3 linked regions of the Xenopus tropicalis genome follow. The protein of the gene in region 3 purifies or fractionates together with the protein of the main gene of each other region. This does not show direct contact. Links are inferred from orthologs where the notes say so. Each region holds a gene or a part of one and is shown on either strand. Other genes may lie near its edges.

What was found.
Region 1: the proteins of hnrnpr (region 3) and ddx5 fractionate together in Homo sapiens (co-fractionation; 3 studies listed by BioGRID and IntAct, with this or other methods). This does not show direct contact. The link is inferred for Xenopus tropicalis from reciprocal best matches to the Homo sapiens genes HNRNPR and DDX5.
Region 2: the proteins of hnrnpr (region 3) and fus purify together in Homo sapiens (affinity purification with mass spectrometry; 4 studies listed by BioGRID and IntAct, with this or other methods). This does not show direct contact. The link is inferred for Xenopus tropicalis from reciprocal best matches to the Homo sapiens genes HNRNPR and FUS.

The regions. Positions count from the first base shown.
Region 1 is NC_030686.2:51,533,097-51,537,363, reverse strand, and holds the start of ddx5 (probable ATP-dependent RNA helicase DDX5), read right to left. Parts: upstream 2,802-4,267; 5' UTR 2,784-2,801; coding exon 2,743-2,783; intron 160-2,742; coding exon 1-159. UniProt on the Homo sapiens protein: Involved in the alternative regulation of pre-mRNA splicing; its RNA helicase activity is necessary for increasing tau exon 10 inclusion and occurs in a RBM4-dependent manner. Binds to the tau pre-mRNA in the stem-loop region downstream of exon 10.
Region 2 is NC_030685.2:6,034,296-6,038,584, forward strand, and holds the start of fus (RNA-binding protein FUS), read right to left. Parts: upstream 2,802-4,289; 5' UTR 2,759-2,801; coding exon 2,746-2,758; intron 1-2,745. UniProt on the Homo sapiens protein: DNA/RNA-binding protein that plays a role in various cellular processes such as transcription regulation, RNA splicing, RNA transport, DNA repair and damage response. Binds to ssRNA containing the consensus sequence 5'-AGGUAA-3'.
Region 3 is NC_030678.2:82,773,223-82,777,451, reverse strand, and holds the start of hnrnpr (heterogeneous nuclear ribonucleoprotein R), read left to right. Parts: upstream 1-1,427; 5' UTR 1,428-1,625; intron 1,626-4,229. UniProt on the Homo sapiens protein: Component of ribonucleosomes, which are complexes of at least 20 other different heterogeneous nuclear ribonucleoproteins (hnRNP). hnRNP play an important role in processing of precursor mRNA in the nucleus.

The DNA.
Region 1 (4,267 bases), on a different chromosome or scaffold from region 3:
GTCCGTCTCACAACATCTGGATGTTCTTGATAGAAATTCTTCTCAAATTTGGGCAGTTCATCCAGGTTCCATTTCTTCTTCATAAGCCGCTCCCCAGGGTTTCCATATTTGCCAGATGTACCACCTCGGTTTCCCCCAAAGCGAGGACCACCTCCAAATCTGAATATAAGACAAAAGGGTCAATGCAAACAATAAGAACCAACTGGGCGACAAAGCAGACTCCTGGCTTGGTACTGCCCTACTGACAATGGCCATGCAGAGCAGGACAATGCTCTCCGATATGCAAGGGGCCATTCATATGCAGTCACTAAGAATACACAGGAAGCTACAAACTACTCTGCTTTAGGGGGAGATCCCACCATTGGCAAAGAGAAGCCTGGGCTCCAAAGCCAACTCTCAGACAGCCCCAGAGTAAAGTTGGCCATACACACACCAACCTTGTTTATATTCGGTGCGTGTATGGCAAGATCGCAGGAGGCTCCATTAAAGACACCTGAGCAAAATCTATTTTCACGGCTGAATCTGCAGAAATCCTATTGTTTCTACCTCTATCGGACGATTCAGCCCTGAACGTCAGTGGAGGGTTGGAACGATCTTTCGTGCGACCACGTGTGGCCAGCTTTAGAGCAGAGACAGCACACACTGATCAGATGCAACACATATCTGGCAGGCAGTATATTTAACAGAGGTGCGGCCCTCAGCTATTCCATGAGCAGGCACAACAAATGGGCACTGCCAGAAAAAAGCATTTATTTTTAGTGCAGCCAATGCCAGTCCTGGTCCTTTACAGGATTCCATCCTGGCACCTCACTAGGCCCATAATCAGACCCAGAAAAGCCATCAGGAAAATGATAATTTGTTTTTAAGTTAGAAGCATCACCTTCCTTCCCATTACTGCGCAGAACCCCAGGGGAGAGAGGCCTATGCAAAATGGCCACTGAACTGTGCTGGGTATATGCCAAGTAGGTTCCCTGAGGGCATGCCGTGCCAGTGTTACATAAACCGACAGAGGGAGGTGCCAAGTGGTTGCCTAATCAGCAGTGCAAGGAGCAGTTGCACCCAGACTGCAGGTACTGCTAGGTGAGAGCTCTGCCCCAGCATGGGGCAACTGTAGGAGAGTCTATAAACCCAGCAGGGATATTCTGCAAGTACACCTTGTTCCTGGTTACAGGCAGACTGATCATACCCAGGGGACACTACACAGATATGCCAGCAGCGTGCCACACAATAGGGCAGGTACTATGGGAATATACCCAGGCAGACAGATGCCACACAATAGGGCAGGTACTATGGGAATATACCCAGGCAGACAGATGCCACACAATAGGACAGGTACTATGGGAATATACCCAGGCAGACAGATGCCACACAATAGGGCAGGTACTATGGGAATATACCCAGGCAGACAGATGCCACACAATAGGACAGGTACTATGGGAATATACCCAGGCAGACAGATGCCACACAATAGGACAGGTACTATGGGAATATACCCAGGCAGACAGATGCCACACAATAGGGCAGGTACTATGGGAATATACCCAGGCAGACAGATGCCACACAATAGGGCAGGTACTATGGGAATATACCCAGGCAGACAGATGCCACACAATAGGGCAGGTACTATGGGAATATACCCAGGCAGACAGATGCCACACAATAGGACAGGTACTATGGGAATATACCCAGGCAGACAGATGCCACACAATAGGGCAGGTACTATGGGAATATACCCAGGCAGACAGATGCCACACAATAGGGCAGTTGCTATGGGAATATACCCAGGCAGACAGAGGCCACACAATAGGGCAGGTACTATGGGAATATACCCAGGCAGACAGATGCCACACAATAGGGCAGTTGCTATGGGAATATACCCAGGCAGACAGAGGCCACACAATAGGGCAGGTGCTATGGGAATATACCCAGGCAGACAGAGGCCACACAATAGGGCAGGTACTATGGGAGCAGTACCAAAGGAATATACCCAGGCAGATAGCACAAGAAGGTGCAACACAATAGGATAGTTGCTATGGGAATATACCCAGGCAGATAGAGATGCCACACAATAGGGCAGTTGCTATGGGGGAAGTACCAGGGGAATACACCCGGGTAGATAAACAGCTGCCAGGATAAATAGCGACAAAGGAAGATAAAAGAATAAAGCGGCAGGGAGAGGGGAGTGAGGCGGCCCCGGGGAGAGGGGAGTGAGGCGGCCCCGGGGGAGAGGGGAGTGAGGCGGCCCCGGGGGAGAGGGGAGTGAGGCGGCCCGGGGGAGAGGGGAGTGAGGCGGCCCCGGGGAGAGGGGAGTGAGGCGGCCCCGGGGAGAGGGGAGTGAGGCGGCCGGGGAGAGGGGAGTGAGGCGGCCGGGGAGAGGGGAGTGAGGCGGCGGGGAGGCGGCAGGGAGTGAGGGCAGTACAAGTACGGAGGGCAGTACAAGCGCCAGACAAGGCAATAGAAGGAGAGCCCTTCCCCCCCCCGCCGCCATTTTGTGCAGAGACAAAGAGCCGCAACTGGTGCCTCCGCCATCTTGTCTCGCCGAGCCCCGCCTCCCGGGAGCCGAACAATACAATCCATCGCTCGGAAGCCCCGTTACTCATGGGCCCCCCACACACACACATCCCATAATGCCTACCTACCGTACCAGCCGCCATCGGGCGGAAACATTAAGCCCAAACAAACTCCCCACTGGCCTCTGCCAGAAGCTGCCGGCACCTCACGGGGAGACCCCCGAGTACGTACCCCCTGTCCCGGGCGCGGTCCCTGTCGTTGAATCCGGGCATGGCGTTACACAAAGGGCGTTCCGGGAGCGGCTGTACAGACGGGAGGGCTCGGCAGGAAGGGAAGTAACACGCAGCGCGCACACACCTTATATAAGGCCGGCCGGCAACTGACGTCACCATATTCCTCCGCGGGGCGGGGCCTTGACCTACCGCCGCCATATTGCTTCAGGGAAACCTGTCCAACAAGTAGAAAAACCGACCAGCCGCTCGGTGTTAACCTTTTTCCTGGCTTCCGCCCCAACGATATTGCAAACTGAACCGTGAGCGTGGGGCAGCGGCTGCTCCCGCTTTTGTAGCGGGATATCGACCACGTACTGGTAGCGGGACACCGGCCCAAAGTAAAGATGGCGGCAGAGACTAAGCGATGTGACCATGTGACCGGCAATGCGCCTTTTCCCGGAATTTTATTATCTGTGGCTCATGTTAGTCAGTGTGTGTTGCGTGGGATGAGGCAAGGCCAGTAAGGCTGTGTTCCCTTATTAGCCCCGCCAGGCACACCCAATGGGTACAACTATATTGCCTCATACATATACGGGCTACATACAGTCCCCATTAGTAAGTGCTTGAGCCTTCCCGCTCAAGGTTTTGTTCCTACTGCTGAGGAGCCCTGCCAATTCCTCCCCACTGTGTCCCTGCCACTTCCTCCCCACTGTGTCCCTGCCACTTCCTCCCCACTGTGTCCCTGCCACTTCCTCCCCACTGTGTCCCTGCCACTTCCTCCCCACTGTGTCCCTGCCAATTCCTCCCCACTGTGTCCCTGCCACTTCCTCCCCACTGTGCCCCTGCCACTTCCTCCCCACTGTGCCCCTGCCACTTCCTCCCCACTGTGTCCCTGCCACTTCCTCCCCACTGTGTCCCTGCCACTTCCTCCCCACTGCCTGCCCTCCACTTCTCCCCACTGTGCCCTGCCAATTCCTCCCCACTGTGTCCCTGCCACTTCCTCCCCACTGTGTCCTGCCAATTCCTCCCCACTGTGCCCTGCCAATTCCTCCCCACTGTGTCCCTGCCAATTCCTCCCCACTGTGTCCCTGCACTTCCTCCCCACTGTGTCCCCTGCCACTTCCTCCCCCACTGTGCCCCTGCCAATCTCTCCCCACTGTGTCCCTGCCACTTCTCCCACTGTGCCCCTGCCAATTCCTCCCCACTGTGTCCCTGCCAATTCCCCTCCCCACTGTGTCCCTGCCAATTCTTCCCACTCTGTCCCTGCCAATTCCTCCCCACTGTGTCCCTGCAAATTCCCCCCACTGTGTCCCTGCCAATTCCTTCCCCACTCTGTCCCTGCCAATTCCTCCCCACTGTGTCCCTGCCACTTCCTCCCCACTGTGTCCCTGCACTTCCTCCCCACTGTGTCCCTGCCACTTCCTCCCCCACTGTGTCCCTGCCAATTCTCCCCCACTGTGTCCCTGCCACTTCCTCCCCACTGTGTCCCTGCAATTCCTCCCCACTGTGTCCCTGCCACTTCCTCCCCACTGTGTCCCTGCCAA
Region 2 (4,289 bases), on a different chromosome or scaffold from region 3:
TGCAGATTGAAATTATAGGATAAAATCCTAAAAATATATCAGAGGGCGTTCTGGGCATGAAATAGTTGGCAGACACCAACCGTATGAAAGTGACTCCCATTGTAGGCCCCCCAAGGATATCGGCACATACACAATACATGCACAGATTTTATCCTTATCCAACCAAAATGTTTTATCCTGTCCGATCGACTAAACAACCGAACACCATGGTACAAAAATGATTGTGGTGATAATGTAGAGCCCACACAGCCTGAAAATCGTACAAAACTTACCACACACAGGCCAAATATCATACAAAACTACATTGTGATATTCTGGCCCTTATTTGGATAATTAAGGCCAGACAGGGGCACATCAATGCCATCGGTCGCACCAAAGATCGTCCACAGACGTTCAGGGCTGAATTGTCCGATATGGAGGTAGAAACAATAGAAATTCTACCCCCTTCTGCCCTGAACTTAGATTTTGCTTGGGTACCGTTGAAGGTACAAAAGCAAAATCAGTTCAGGGCAGAAGGGGGTAGAATTTCTATTGTTTCTACCTCCATATCGGACAAATCTTTTAACCTGGCCGATCAACAAGTCGACAGATATCCGCAGCCTTTTGCAATATCGGGTGCCTCGTCGAGCCGCCATACACACAAACCGAATATTGTACGAAACGAGGTTTTGTACGATATTGTTGGTGCATATATGGCCAGCTTAAGTCTACCCATGTATGGCCAGTTTATAGTCTTATCAGGCCATAGTCCAAAAAAATAGTGAATCCCTGTGAGGAAAACTTTCCTTCCACACCCAACACTAAATTAAAACAGGATCTTTTCTTAAATCAAGACCAGTGCATGGAATTACAGGGCACAAGTCTCTATTGTCCCTTTAATGGCCTTGGAACTACAACAAGGTCACTGAGGTCCATAGTTTCCTATACAAGAAGCCTGGGTGGGGGGGCGGGGTAAAATATATATTATATACACACTGGAACAAGGGCAGCACTCTTAGGATTTAAAGAATTGTGAGCAAAATTTAGATATAGAAAGGTTTATCACTCAACGTTTCGGCCTCACACAAACCTTCATCTGGAGTGAAGGTTGAAGCTTTCTCCAGATGAAGATGAAGGTTTGTGTGAGACCGAAACGTTGAGTAATAACCTTTCAATATTTACACTGCTCACAATTCTTTAAATATTAGGAGTGCCGGCCTTGTTCCAGTGCATTTTTTTGGTACTAGCACCCAGGTTTCGTTGGATTTCTTTTCTTAAATAAATTTATTATTTTTTCAGCAAAGTCCCTGTGTGTGCGGCCCACTGTTATATATATATATACTTTGAGAAAGGCTGAGGATCCGGCCGAAACGTTAGATTGACGTGGTTTCACAATAAAGGTATCTTATTTTTTCACCAAGTCCTGCGAGTGCGGTATATATATATATATATATATATTATATATATATATATATATATATATATATATGTGTATATATAGGTGGTTTGTCCCTGAGGAAGAGCACAGTAGGTGCTCGAAACGTTGGACTTTTTTTGTTCTAATAAATTTGTGATTTTTTGTAAAGTCCCTGTGTGTGCAGGCACCAGCACCTTGGGCATTTGAATTCTTTAAGGGTGTGCTTTATTTTGTTCTATATATCTATCTATATACACACACACACACACATATATATTATATATATATATATATATATATAATATATAAGGGATATAATATATAAGGGACTTGATACAAAAGAAAAAGTGGTTTTATTGAAAAAATTACAACGTTTCGAGCACAATCTGTGCTCTTCCTCAGGGACAAACCAACTGAGGAAGAGCACAGATTGTGCTCGAAAAGTTGGCATTTTTTCAATAAAACCACTTTTTCTTTTGTATCAAGTCCCTATGTGTGCGGCACTCTTTCTATTATATTTTTGTTTTTTGACCTGCACCAAGGGCATTTGGACTTGTATAGGGTGTGCTCCTCCCTGTATACTATATATATATATATATGTAGACACATACACACACACACACACACATATATATATATATATGTAGACACATACACACACACATATATATATCTACCCGCTTCTTACCCTATGTCTCAGCCAAGAATTTACTTTACTAGTTAAATCTGCTTAAAGATCCCCCAGGCAGCAGTGTTGCAGCCATTTACCAGCCCTACAGAGACTTATTCATGTTCTGCCCTGTGGGCAATTGACCAATATACTGATTCCCTCCCCCTAAACCACGGATAATGGTTTCCAGAGGCAAGATTTTTTTCTTATAACGTTACTACACAAAACACTCGTTTTCTGGGAAGGTTTATCCGGACAGAATGCCACGCATTAGTGCCCCACACGCCCAGCCCGCCCGGATACAAAATGGCGAAAGCAGCGCAGTGCGGCTACAAAATGGCTGCCAGCTGCGCATTCAGCACAATGGTGGGAGGAGCCAAGAAGCGGCGGGACCGATACAACGGGGAAAGCCTACAAGATGCACGCATAGTAACATATCCGCGATACCGGATACATAGAAACAACGAAAAATACACATAAGGCAAAATGGCGCCAAAGAACGAGCAGATCTCGTATCTTAATCCTGAGTACTACTTTGCTTCGCACCCTAAGACATATAACAAATATTAAAGCCTATACACTATGCCCGACTATACATACACAGCCCCCAACTAGCGCGAAACAAAAATATCAAAACTAGCAGCCGAGTACAAAGGGCGAACGTCAAGTAATTCCTTACCGTTGGTGGCCATGTTGCGGTATCACTGATGTTCTCCAAGTACCGCCTAGTAACCACGATATATCACCTCCGCTGCGCACTGTGCTAAGGCGGGGAACTTGCAGCCCTTTATATGCACTCGGGACAAACCATTACGCACACCAGAGGGGGAGTGGTTAGGAGGAAAGGTAGCGACGGCTAAAATACCGGATAAACGAGTTTAAAACAGAACTCTGTTATGTTTTTGTGAAGTCAATAAAGTTTTACCCGAAGCACTATAAAGCAGAGGCAACATATATAGTTGCTTCTTGCTGTGCTGGGTATGTTATGTGAATGGTATGGCGGAGGGGCCATTCTATGAAGTGATGTGTGAAGGGAGAGATGCATCTTAGTTGATGGGGCAGATGAAAATGTCATGTTGGGGCCCTTTTTATTCCTTTCAAAGACCGCAATATCAGTATATTTATCCCATACATTGTCCTCATCATGCTGCAATAAGAAGGCTTGCCCAGATTTAGTTGGGCAGGTTTGAAAATGACAATTTCCCTGCATACAATTGGACAATGGACAAATTTTATTGCTTTCAAACCTGCCCAATGGATTTTCTGACCAATGTTGGATGAAAAATCGCTAAATGTGAAATTGGTCGTTAGGGAGGGAAAAATCTTAGCATGTATGGCCACCTTTGCTATTAGCTGAGGCTTCCTACCCCCCCCCAAGCTTCATGGCTGAATAGTGCAGAAGTACCTTTGTCCCTTGTATGTATGTATATCTTTATAAAGCGCTACTTATGTACCCAGCGCTGTACAGTAGAATACATTAATACAAACAGGGGGTTATTAAGATAATAAGAGATAAATACAAAGTATAACAATAAATAAAAGATACAGTTGCAATAAGTTAAGAGTCAAAGGTCCCTGCCCCGTAGAGCTTACAATCTAGATAATCTAGACAATCTTGGCTCTTCTCGAGACGTGGGCCCTGGGCAGCTGCCCGATATGCCTGCATTATCTGATATTATCTGTCATTTATTGCAGGTCCAGAGATAGGGGTAGGCAGCAGAGGCACGTGCCTTGGGTGCAATTGGGGTGGTGGGGCACAATCAGAGGTGGATTGATTGGTAGGAATGAGCAGCAAGAGCTTGAGTGGACTGAGAGATGGGGGGGGGGGGGGAGCGGTTTGTGATGTGTGAACTGAGCATGGGGGTTTCAGGCAAGCAATGCCCCCTGTTCCATATGTCTGTCTATTTTCATCTGTTTCTCATTTTTCCTTAAGTCTTGATAGCTTGCTACTATCTATCTATCATCTATCTATCATCTATCTATTATCTATCTATCTATCTATCTATCATCTATCTATCTATCTATCTATCTATCTATCTATCTATCTATAATCTTTTATCTATCAATTTATCTATCTATCTATCTATCTATCTATCTATCTATCTATCTATCTATCATCTTTTATCTATCTATCTATCTATCTATCTATCTATCTATCTATCTATAATCTTTTATCTATCAATTTATCTATCTATCTATCTATCTATAATCTTTTATCTATCA
Region 3 (4,229 bases):
AGCCGTCGCGCTGAGTACAAAAGTTTCGGATTCATTCAAGCTTCAGTATCGTGACTTTCCTTGGGCCAGTTTGGTGCTGCAGAGTGCCATTGAGTCCTATGGGAGGCTTCCAAAATCATGCAAAGTCTGAAAGATTTGCCCGCCGTTTACGAGCGCTCAATACAAAAAAGTCGTGACAATATACGAGCAAATCATAACGGCTACGAAAAAGTCACTACAATTCGCACAAGTCGTAACGGCTACGAAAAAGTCGTAACGGCGACGAAAAAATCGCAAAAAATACGAAAAAGTCGCAAAGTGTTCGTTTCCAATCCGAATTTTTCCCATTCGGATTCGTGGATTAGTAAATGTGCCCCTATGTTTTGTATTTATATTTTATTATTATATTGACATCTGTCTTTTCTCCTAATATTAGGTATAGTGATGCAGGGCACAAGTAACCCTATATAACTAAACATATTCATATAAATATACATCCATATAAATTGTAAATATTACTCATGAATGCACAGAATGTAGTTTTCAAATTCCACCCCTTTTGTGTCACAATTAGCAAATTTTGTATTATTGTTATTATGGGCTAGGCCTGGATTTTGATCACCAGCCCTGGAATTACTGGAACTGACTAATATGACTGCAGACACTGCACAGAGATCATTGTGAGTGATATTAATAGCTATATCTATAAACAGCGCTTACTAATGTAATGTGATAACCTGTGTCACGTTCCTCTGTGAAACTTGTGTATAACAAGCACTGTTCCCTCTGTTGTAAATGTACTGCTTTTAGCAACAGCATTTGGGGTCTCTTATTTGAAAACCCAATGCCCAGAAAAGCTCCACATTATGAGGCCATCTTGATTTTCATTACATTACTTTAAACCCAGGTCCCAAGCTTTCCGGGTAATAGAGCCCATACTGGTATTTATGATATATGAACAACAAAAATGCAATTACACTGCATCACTGCTTGTGAAAGTTGTGGTATATGCAGAGTAGAAATGTCAACGCTGCGAACACTGACTCTCCTTGGCAGCTTTGGTGTTTTACACCCATACATATAACCGTGCCTTTCATCTTTTCATCTAAGCTGTACCCGAATGTACTGCAAGTGCGCATATTTGTACGTACATATATATGTATGCATATGTGTGTGTAAACGAAACTGGACTTAAACATGCAGCACAGACATTATATTGGTACATGCGATATATATTAATCGGTCCAAACAATAGCTCATTGAAAGCCAGCAGCATTGTCTTCCACCCCGAAAAGCTTCACATCCCATTCCTTTCCATCCTTAGCCATCCCAGAGGCAGCTATTTCATTAGCTACAAACTCTCTCGCAATCACCAATCCGAACCACTTCTTTCATAAGTCTGCCATTGCCTATTATGTACTCCGCTTCCCAATTGGCTGAGGTGTAACGCCTTCCCTCCCGCTTATTCGTCTCCTCCTACCCGCAATAGGCTAGTCCTTGGCAGCTGGTGGTGTGGACCCCGCGGCCAGTATTGTTGATTGGCTTAGTAGGGATAGAGAAGGCGGTGGTTCGCAGTCCGTGAGGCGCGCCATTTTACTAGCTCACTGTAACAGCGGGCGTGAGGCAAGAGGGCCATAGCTCTGCAGGTGAGTAGGCTTCCTCTGTTCTCGTTGCGTACGCTTCTGAGCGTCCGGCCACGGTTTCCGCAAAGCTGTAATGTTTGAACCTGAATAGCAGCCAAGTATGACAACCTTCGCCGCCATTGTACTTGTCCTTTTTGCGTTTTAAATTGGAGTAGATGTAAAACTGTATGAACAGTTAGGTGTGTATTCCGCAGTAATGAATACTATCCTTCAGACCTCAATAAAAAAAATCACTGCAAAACAATGTATAATGCTAATGGAATTCCGGAAAAAATATGGAATGGTTAAATGTTCATTGTAGCTTGTTTGAAGGTGTATGCCATTCATTTTAAATGGGCAGCATCTATTGTGTTCAGTGTATGTAGAGGTCCATGACTTGGGTGCTGAATTGCGTTAGGGCACTAACATAGTAAACGGGCTAGTTTTTATGGGCTGTCATTTATTGCATTTGTTAATATATGTGCCCTTTATACTCTTATTTATATTGCATAGTGTGCAATGTTATGTAACTCATAGCTATTGAAAATGTAGTTTCCAGCTTTGTTGGACAGGGCTTTGATATGTGAGGTTTTGCAGCAGCTGTAGAGACACAGTTTAGTCTCTTCTGGCTTGGCACTTGGAATCGGTGTCAGTTTCTAATTGTACAGTTAATTAATTAGTAGCAATTAAAATGATGCGTTAAAATGAAAGTGTTTTTTGTTCTCACTATAAAGGGAGCTAAGCTCCAGTAACCGTTTTGTGTTGTGATTTACCTATCGGTAATGTGGCAAGGAATTTTGCCATAACTTTTGATTGTTTATGGTGGTTGTTTTCTAAACAAAGTAAATTAGTTGTCAGTTGAGAGACCCTGACTGCCTATGGGCGCATGACACAACTGCCTGACATTGTTTAATTTAATATGCTCGCTGAAAATGTACTATAGTGGATAACAGGCGCACAAGTTGGACTCCGTTGGTTAAATGTAAATACATACAGATCTTAAATGGTTCTTATATGTTGCTTCCCCTGCAATTTTGTCAACATAACAAAAAGCCGAGTTGCATTCTAAGATAACTTGATGTTGATCCTCATTTCTTATCTTATTTTTTCCCCAGTTCTGGTGCTCATTTTGAACTATTTGATGCTAAGATCACAGTCCTTTAAAAGCACACCATCAACCCTAAAAAAAATTTAACACATGGAAACTGTATCTAGTGTTTAAGTGATTGGGGTTTAAGCAATTATCTTATTAAAAACCCAGTGATTGTAATTGTTCACCTGCCTGGGTCTCTGGTCAGGTAGGCCCATTGGAGTGCCCCATGGGCAGATAAGCTACCAACTTGGACTATAGGAGCTGAATCAGAAGCCAAAATCTGCCCATGTATGGCTGCCTTTAGTCAATGGATTGAAGATTGTAGAGGCAGGATTAGTAGCCCTTTTCTTTATTACTATATACATTTTTACAGGCTGGGGAGATAAGAAAAATGATGCCTATACTTTATTCAAATGGGATAAGGGCAAAGACACACAGAACTACTTAGTAGCAGCTACTTGTCACCGCTACTAAATGCCAGAAAATACCCTACCATAGACAATACTGAGAATTGCATCTGCTAAACACTCGTAGAGAGGATTATCAGTAAATGTCTGTTTTTGTAGCAGTGACAAGTAGCTGCTACTAGTAGCTCCATATTGCTTCATCTAAAGTGCTGTCAACTTAGCTAATATAGTACCTGTAAGAAATGCTTGGTATTTTACCTACCAAATTAAAATGCTGTTGTGTAGTTATCCCTAGCAGAAGGAATTCTGGGAAGGAAGCCCAGGATTGCTCTTAATTTCTATACCCTATCCTTACCCACTGGGTTTATAAAGCACTGCCAAGACAGTAGGCTGACTGGATTTCTACCCTGGCTGTGCTTTAAAACCCAGTGGTGAGTTTCTGTCTATAGGGTGTGAAATGGAGTTTCCTTTACAAAAAATTCCTTCTGCTTTGCATATGGATGAGGACATCTCTTCTCAATCAAAATTTTTTTTTTAGTAGCTGTTCCGAGTAATATCAGATTTGGTTTCTTGAAAGGGGCTTTTGAAGAGTAGGGAGGTTATGAGAGGTGTTTAGGAATGGCCTGACCATCCTCATACATTGGCAGCATACACGCGGTAATTACGATTTTTCCCACAACCATTGGGCATATGAAAGATTTTTCATCCTCTCTAGTAACGTTAAGAGCTGAATCGTCAGGTATGCAGGTAAAAACAGAGAAATTATTTACCCCATCTGACAATTTAGCATTAACTTTACAATGTTCAGGCCCCTTCAAAATTTTCAGTCCTTGGTGAGACAACTGATATCCAAGGCTTTTACCAGTAGCGGTCGCCTTGTCTCCCACTGTGCGCACACCGATTATCGTACAAAACTTTGTTTCATATGATAATATCTGTGCGTGTATGACAACCTTAAATCTGCAGGTTGAGTTAAGTTTTCATACCCCACTCCACATTCCATACCCCACTGCAACTAATTTGTACAGGATTTCCATTAGTCTTCTACAAGTAAAGTAATAAAAGTAACTCTTTACCTGAATCAGTCATGGTTGCTGTGGTTTACTGCAGTAGTGCATATTTGCCGAG